Linked DNA regions of Daphnia pulex. The protein of the gene in region 1 interacts with the protein of each later gene in a biochemical or structural test. Links are inferred from orthologs where the notes say so. Each region holds a gene or a part of one and is shown on either strand. Other genes may lie near its edges.

Region 1 (4,492 bases):
CCAAATGCCAGCATCCGCTTGATATGTACAGCGGACACTTTCAAAGGAAGAAGCGTCGCAGCGAGCTTCAAGACCATTGGCTGCAATTTTGAGATATTCGCTAACATCTTGGCTGTTAAGCATAACATTGATAGCACTTGTATCTGTGCGTTCGTAGGTGAACGATCGCCCCTCACTAACGACTGTTACAGAAATGAATAGCATTCAAAATTAAGGTTCATTCAAACGTGTGATAAAGAGTTTTAAAAAAATGCATACATAGATTATCAAGACACCATTCAGAACAGAATCCAACTTGACGTTTCATGTAATCGTCGGTCGATTTCCATTTTTCCAACACCAAAAGTGGATGCTGGGTTTCTTGGTGGAATCTTTTATTGAGAGCAATTTTGTTTTCACCTAAATAGAAGAAAAATGAGAAACAAATCCTACAAACTAGTTATAATTATTATTTTTTACTTGTTTGAGCAAATTTCTCAAGAGCAATTAATGAAAACAGTACTACTGGTGGGTGGTTTGATGGATCCTAAAAGATATACATTGTTGAAAATAAAGTGAGACCAAAGATTGATTGTCAGACATACCAGGTTGGCTATAAGGTAATCCAATGTGCTGTCAGTTAGCAAAGCAACACTTGTAGGCCCAGCCAATTTTTCAGCAATGCAGCCCAATGCAATACAAATATTCCTGTGACGATTAGGATCTGATCTTCCCCTTTTACTAGCTTTAGCTGACAGCCAAAACATCCGGGGGACTTTAGTAATGGAATCCTGAAAAAAAAATGGTGAAAATTTAACCTAGCAACAATGTCTAACATATGATTAAAATCTTACCTTTGCTGGTAAGGCACAGTCATCTAGCACCAGAGTGATGACAGCAGGTCCAAGGGGTTCATTAATGGGTATTACATTAACCATGGAATGTAGAACAAGCAACCAACCATGCCCTTTGTTAGAAAGAGCTTGTAATCTTAACATTGAAGGAGGTGTTTCTTGATCACTAAACAAAGAAGGAATAATTAAAGTGGATACATAGGAACATATAATAAAAACATACTTTTCAACTAAATTTCCTATGACAGCTAATGTCTGCAAAACAAGACTGTCAATATGGGGTAGCATTCGCCTCAAGTGTGAGGCCTCAGATGCTGGTATAACATGAGATGGGAAACTTCTGTCTCTATCAACTGAAATATTAGATTGCAGTGGACTTGGGAGGCTGGCAGTTTCTGGTTGAGGCACTGAGAGAGAGGGTAGTTCCCCATCCTTTTCGTCACAACATAAGCATTGTCCCATTTTTAACTGCTTCAGTGGAAATTAAATTTGAACATGTTATTTGAGAGAGATCGTCACTATTCAAACGTGCAATTTGATCTCCATCTTAGTTAAGTTTATAAGTGGGTGTATATGGATTGACCAGGAATGGATTTGACGTTGTTCAACAATTAATTTCAGTAGCACTATTTAACCATGTTATAAATATGGATGGTAATCTAGTATTGAGAAATTCGATGAAAAAGGTATCGTCTGCTGCTTATAACGCGAACATAGATATCCGCTAGGGGCGCTTATAGGAGAGCCATCCTTTCACCGGACATCTAATAGTATCTAATGCCTAATGAGGAGTAACACAATTTGGAGTTTTCTTTTTCTTCCGTCAGATGTCGAAGTCCACAAGTTTGTTTATTAAAATAAGTCATACTGATACTGTAAAGTCTAATTAGTAATTACACGTTGTGGAATTCGCGTATTGCATATTCTTTTTAAAATAAGGCTTATCTTTTTTTGTCGAAGACAAAGAGTTATTTGATTGAATGGAAAAATAACATATAGTGTCCAATTTCAATTTTCGCTAGCGGGGTACGAGGTGATTGGCGACAGTTGACTTTGAATGTTTTCGAACTACTCCTTTGAGTTGTTGCTGATTATGCATTGAATTTATATCAACTGCTTCCTTTATTTTATCCTTTTTATTTATTTCAGTTACAGAATGGCAACCGGAATGATGCAAACATTCATCACTGGGCTTAGATCCAGAAGTGAAGATTTGAGACTAAAGGCTGCCCGAGATTTACACCATTATGTAAGAGAAGGATAAAGAGCTAAATGTTTAAGAAGGAAATAATATAGAATTGTTTTAATGTTGTCTTAATTTGTTTAGGTGACATCTGAGTTAAGAGAGGCATTGCAGGAAGATGTAATTTCATTTGTTGATGATTTGAATCACCATATATTTGACATGGTGTCCAGCTCAGATGTCAATGAAAAGAAAGGTGGCATTCTAGCCATAGTTAGTTTATTGCAAGTAGATGTTGGAAATACCAATGCCAGAATGACTAGATTTGCCAACTATTTGAAAAACTTACTTCCATCTCAGGATGTAGTTGTAATGGAGTTAACTGCAAGGGCACTTGGAAAATTGACACTGGCAAGTTAAACAAAAATCTAAATAGCCTCTACACATAATTAAAACAGATGATAAATATAGATATGCAATTTTTAATAAAACAGGTATCAGGAAGCTACACCGCGGAGTATGTGGAATTTGAAGTAAAACGAGCCTTTGAGTGGCTCAGTGGCGAGAGAAATGAAGGTCGTAGGCATGCAGCGGTAAGTTAAAAATAACATCATTAACGATATGTTGATACCATAAGTTTTAACTCAATTTCTCACAGGTGCTGGTTTTGCGAGAATTGGCTTTATCCATGCCAACTTTCTTTTTCCAGCAAGTCCAGACTTTTTTTGACGTTATTTTTTATGCTGTTCGGGACTCCAAACCAATGATTCGAGAAGGCGCAGTTGCTGCTTTACGCTCTGCTTTAGTCGTCACATCTCAGCGAGAAACTAAAGAAGCTCAAAAGCCTACTTGGTAATAAACAAGCTTGTACAAGTTTAACACATAAAGATATAGTATTAACCATTAATTAGGTATAAACAATGCTTTGACGAGGCCCAACAAGGTTTTGAGGAACCGTTAGCCAAAGATAAAGGACTAACAAAGGACGACAGAGCTCATGGATCTCTTTTGGTTCTTCAAGAGCTTCTACGTTGTTCGAATGCAGAGGGTGAACGACTTCTCGCTGAACTAGAGCAATTAAATTTACTACATTCACAGACTGTTCAGGTTGAATATGCCGATCTTTGTATGACCTGAGCAAATGCGATAATTCTCAATGATTTTTTACCAAAGGATTCTCTAATTTCTACAACTTCCCGAGTGTTGCCGAACGGTGCTGTTGAATTAATCAACACTCCTACACTTTACAATAATCTCCGGCTTTTGCCAGGGCATGTCGCTCAATCAAGGATAGCCAGCGCCGTGTCACCACTATCGATAGTTGCGCCCCAGCAGGTGATTTATAAAATTGATCGCAATACTTCCACTTACCTGAACGAATTTTCTATACAAACAGTACCCTATAGTTGAAAGCGCTGCATGCCGCCAATTGACTGCTGATCATTTTGATGAAATTTGTGCCAACACTCTTCGACATAGCATCTCAAAAAGCAGCCATGTACAAGCAGCTTTGATGGGAATTCTGCCTAGACTGGCTGCCTATGATCGAACCCGATTTTCTGATAGGTATTAAATTTTTGGAAAATTTCTTAAAATGACAAATGACCATACATACTTAATTTCCCCAGGTATTTGGGCCCTTCGATGAGCTACTTGATGGCGTGTTTGACCCGCAAAGAAAAAAATCCTCACCTTGCAATGATAACTATAGGTTATATAGCAGTGTGTATTGAAGGGGATATTGCCACACATCTCCCTGGCATTATTAGTTTTGTTCGGACTTCTCTACCTCAAAATAAAGTAGAGAAACTAAAGAGTGTAAAGAAGAAAAATTCTTTAATTTTCGAAACTTCTCCAAACTAGGACCCATCTTCTACCAAAAAACGCTCCAGTCCCCCTGATATTGCTGTTTTCGTCTGTCTAAGTCTGCTTGGCCGAGCCGTTGGTCGTTCTCATCTAACTAGTGAGTTCAAGGATCTACTGGATCCCATGCTGTCCGTTGGACTTAGTCCTGCCCTGACAACTTGTCTTCGTGAACTGGCCTTGAGAATTCCTCATCTTAAAAAAGACATTGCCGAAGGACTCTTGCGGATGCTTTCACTAGTTTTGATGCACCAACCACTTCGTCATCCAGGCATGGTTTTATTTTAAACAACGAATTTGGAAAAGTACATTCTACTTGAATTAATTTATCCATTCTATTTTAGGAATGCCAAAACATCATATGGCGCTCACTCCAGTGGCACTTCAACCACTACCATCGAATGGGGATGACGTCAATAGCATCGTTTTAGCTCTAAGAACGTTGGGGAGTTTTGATTTTCAAGGTTAAAAAACCAATTTATTTAAAATTCAATGAACGAGAGACGCAGATTTTTCAACATAATTTTGTTTGTGTCGCTAGGTCAACCACTACTTTTACAATTTGTTCGCCATTGTGCCGACAACTTTTTGTGCAGTGAGCAAAGGGCCATAC
Region 2 (4,160 bases), on another chromosome or scaffold:
CACCAATCTTGTTACATGATCGAGGAAACGCATCAACAGGATTCATAAAAAATGACTAGTTAGCAAAATCACTATAGGTGGCAGTTGGCGCTAAGGCTTTTGCAGTTGATTTTTAACATTTAGATGTGTCATGATGTTTTTGACATTTGATTTGTGTAAGGTTGATGGAATAAATTTTTTTTATAGATTTTTCAATATTTTAAGAGAAACCTTAGACAAGCGCAGCAAAGACACAACAATTCAAAATCCGAGAGCCCTTGTGACGGTTTGGGGTCATTTTCAAACAAAGGGCATGCAGAACGTGCAGACCTCGAAAATATTAATGAAAATATAAGTATATACGTATTTTTATTTGCGAAAATGCAAGTCTGCCATCTGCCATAGAGAATTTGAATTTTGTGGCTACGATGCGACGTTGCCACTGTTTATTCGGACTACAGTTGCTTAATTTTTTTAAGTCCGAAAATAAATAAACGAAAAATTTGAGAAAAAACAAAATATTATTTAAATAGCACCTAACGAGTTCAATTTAAATGAATAAATGGGGTTTTTAATTTCCAGATAGAGAATTTCTTGATTTGTACATCAAAATCCATCTAAAGCAGGGGTATGGAGAGATGGTTGCCAATAACCATGTTAAATTTCCCATAAGGGGACTCGAAGGGAAGCTACTTTTTTACTAGCGACATTTGTACGGCATTTGTATGGGCATGATACGGAGGCCCCTTTGAATCAATGCCATCTAGGCTGTTGCGGCATATGGACATACAAAGAGACCTTTTAGTAAAATGAGCGGACGACCCCTTATGGGAAATTTAACATGGAGACTGGCAACCATCTCTCCATACCCATTTCTAAAGTAACCAACAGACTGCGATACTCTGAAATTTTAGAGATGAACTAATAACTGCTAATAACAAGATCACTAGATCAGTTTAAGATTTTTAGGGAGAAGCGCAGAAGCCAAGGAGAGTGGGGTATACATCAGTATAAATGACGAAGAGTCATTTACTTATGTCAGTTACAGATGGTTTTTTTCTATGCAAGACTTATTATAGGCCTACCTGATTCTAAAAATCTGTATGTATATTCAAGGCAATTCAAAAAAAAAAAATATTGGCGGACACGCGGCCTATTACATATCACTAATTCAATGACAATATGTGCCATTTACAGTATTACAGTAATTCAATTAACAAAACCTATAGTTTTTTTTATCATGTTCACAATTCAGACTAGACCTGCATGGACGGAAAGCGGTCTTCTTATTTCTCATAATGAATCAGTTTGATGTTTATTCTGTGCACACGAAATCTTAACTCAAAAATTGGCTCCAAATTTAGTTTATTTTTACGCATTGTAAAGAATATGCAAAATACACTAACTCGTGACTCCGGTGACGTCCGCAGGAACGCAGGAGACGTACCGCGGTCCGCGTACCGCATCCAAAAAGAAATTTCTAGTGCGATTGCGAAATAATCGAAATTGGCAACGCTGTGTGGAATAGAACAAAGAACCCCTACCCTAACAAAAAACCGTCAACAAATATCAGAGACCAAACCTTTTTTGTTAACTGCGTAGTTTGCCTGTTCCTATCCGTAAATAATTCTTTAAAGAAATTGGTTTCTAGTTATAAGGCGTTGTGCTGAGTTTTACCAAGTAAAAGCAGCATTGCACAGGCGGTTTACTACACCTCTTTATTTCAATTTGTGAACCTGTGCTTGTTTGCTTATCAAGTGATCTCATCTCCTGGGTTAAACTACAAAGAGTTCGTTTTTGTAGTGAAAACCTTCAATGTTGAGATCATTCAGTAGACATAATTCAAGAATCTATACTGAAAATTATACGTCAGAAGTGACCCTAGCACTGACACATTGGTTTTGTGTCATGGAAACAGTCAGTTTGTTCACAAAAAAAGGTGTTTTCTGTCATCCACGAAGTGTTTTAAGAAACTAAAGTTTAAACTGCTGTTGGTTCTGTGAGTGACTTATTTCCCAAAGTTGTTTTTAAAGCAAAGTACAAATCATTAGTGAAAGATGAAGCTTTTAGAGAGTAGTCGCTTTGAGCAAGTTAACTCTGCTCTTAATATGTTCACTGGAGACTGCAACATTATTGGAAGGTAATGAATAGAAAAGTAAAATTAATTCCCATTTTTTAAGTCTATAAAATATGTATTATTTCCACATTTTTTTCATATTTACATTTTAAGCACTTGCTCATTGTTTGTTTCTAAGCAACAAGGTCGCCACTTTCATTGGCTTCCTCAGCAACCAATCAGAAAGCCGGGACTGGTTGCCATGCATATTTCTGCAAAATTTGGATCTCTGTGTTGACCTAATAGTAAAATTGCTTTATTGCAGGATTGAAAGCTATTCATGCAAATTGGCAGGACATGAAAAACAACTGTATAAGCGTTTCCATTCAGAGGCCGGTGCTGGTCCGCACGATCTTCAAGTATTATCAGCTCCTCAAACTGCGCTTGCTGTTTCCCCAACAGGAGGTTATTTCAGTAATCAAAGGTGCATTGAGCTTTTTAAAAAAAAAAATAGTACGAGTCATTAGACATACGACATTTTCTATTTAGTTGCAGCGTTTCAGGAGATGAAGAAGGCCCGTTATGTGACACAATAAGCCGCAAAACGTTATTTTATCTTATCGCCACACTAAATGCTTCGTTTCATCCAGACTATGATTTTTCTTATGCTCGCAGTGAAGAATTTAGTCGCGAACGATCGATTCAAGTAAAAATTTTTATTATTTCGCTATCGTAGTCTTTCTTAAACCAATTTAACTTTTTAGTGGGTAATGAATGCAGTCGATAACAATTTGAGTGCTACAGCTGGAGATCTCTACAATTCCAAATTACATGCTCAGCTGTGGGCTGCCATTAACGATGAAATCAATTTGCCCGAATGCGACATCTATAGGTTCGTTCAAGATTTATTGAAGTATGCTTCGGTATTTTATATTGATCATTTTTGTGCAGTTACAATTCGGATCTGGCGTCAGATCCCTTTGGTGAAGATGGTTCATTGTGGTCTTATAATTATTTTTTCTACAACCGGAAACTAAAGCGCATTGTTTTTTTAACTTGCAGAGCTGTCAGGTAAATAATCTCGAAGAAATTATTGATATTCAGTTATATCTAAAATGTTACATCTTTAGTTTAAGCCACATGGATCTGAGTTGCGGTGCGGAATTCATGATGGATGAAGAGGCCTTCCTATAAAGTGGGAGCAAACAGCCAACAAAGCAGAACTACGACGCCAATTTCAATGTTTTAATTACATTAGTCGTCAAAAGTAGACGTTCGATTTATGTTTACACATAGAAATTTTACAAAATAAGACGTCCAAGATTTTTTAGTGGCGTACCTCGATCAGATTTTTCTCAGTAGTTCGATCGTCTGTCGCACGTCAGCATTTCTTCCGGGAAATCCTTCCTCCGGAGACCTGTCTTTACTTTAATTTAAAAAAGAAAACGATGTAATAAATGTTTTTTCTTTTTTTTTCTTCCGAACTGCGTCGCATACGAATACACGGAATCATATTTACCTTTATATTGTGTTCCTGAGCATCCGGAGTTTCCTTTTATGCATGGCCGAAAGCGACTAATTAGGAAAAACAGCAACATTAAATTACGTCATCTAAAGGGGGGGGGGGAGAATTGAATTCTTTGTATTGTTTGGTTATGGATACGAAAATGTCAAAATAACGAAGGTATGATCTCCTTTTTTGAAGACAGTTGCAATCGGCGCTTATCATTTTTGATTTGAACTTCTACTTTTGCATCGAATGTAGGCTGCCGATGCTCACACCCGAATACTCTATGAAATACTTTAAACAAATTAAATAACTAATCCATTCACTGCTAACTCATTTTTTAGTAAATACCATTTTTCAGAAATTTTTTTCAGGTTAAAATGTGAGGCCGAAGAACTAGATTTTAAACGCTGCAGCGCCATAATGACATGAGTTCACAATGCCTTCCATACATTTTTTATTTAATCAAAGACAAAAAGGAATAGTTGAGAAAAATGCTACACGTAAGTAAGTAAATAAAAATTGTTTGCTCTTTAGCTTTAGGAACTTTATTTTCCACTGATGCATCACCTGTTATCTAGTTCTCGTGATGACTCAACGAACTCAACAGCAGCAAAA

The links.
Region 2: of the proteins of serine/threonine-protein kinase mTOR-like (region 1) and repressor of RNA polymerase III transcription MAF1 homolog, one has a biochemical effect on the other in vitro, tested with the Homo sapiens proteins (2 studies listed by BioGRID and IntAct). The link is inferred for Daphnia pulex from reciprocal best matches to the Homo sapiens genes MTOR and MAF1.

What each region holds. Positions count from the first base shown.
Region 1 is NC_060027.1:5,105,703-5,110,194, forward strand, and holds the start of serine/threonine-protein kinase mTOR-like, read left to right. Parts: upstream 1-1,653; 5' UTR 1,654-1,866; intron 1,867-1,982; 5' UTR 1,983-1,989; coding exon 1,990-2,082; intron 2,083-2,160; coding exon 2,161-2,427; intron 2,428-2,510; coding exon 2,511-2,609; intron 2,610-2,674; coding exon 2,675-2,868; intron 2,869-2,927; coding exon 2,928-3,123; intron 3,124-3,189; coding exon 3,190-3,351; intron 3,352-3,412; coding exon 3,413-3,582; intron 3,583-3,644; coding exon 3,645-3,816; intron 3,817-3,879; coding exon 3,880-4,150; intron 4,151-4,223; coding exon 4,224-4,343; intron 4,344-4,420; coding exon 4,421-4,492. Other genes in the region: RING finger and SPRY domain-containing protein 1-like, read right to left, coding at 1-182, 259-399, 460-526, 585-770, 834-999, 1,057-1,295. UniProt on the Homo sapiens protein: Serine/threonine protein kinase which is a central regulator of cellular metabolism, growth and survival in response to hormones, growth factors, nutrients, energy and stress signals.
Region 2 is NC_060026.1:7,367,770-7,371,929, reverse strand, and holds repressor of RNA polymerase III transcription MAF1 homolog, read left to right. Parts: upstream 1-1,498; 5' UTR 1,499-2,036; coding exon 2,037-2,119; intron 2,120-2,360; coding exon 2,361-2,519; intron 2,520-2,584; coding exon 2,585-2,741; intron 2,742-2,799; coding exon 2,800-2,927; intron 2,928-2,986; coding exon 2,987-3,106; intron 3,107-3,165; coding exon 3,166-3,229; 3' UTR 3,230-3,559; downstream 3,560-4,160. UniProt on the Homo sapiens protein: Plays a role in the repression of RNA polymerase III-mediated transcription in response to changing nutritional, environmental and cellular stress conditions to balance the production of highly abundant tRNAs, 5S rRNA, and other small non-coding RNAs with cell growth and maintenance.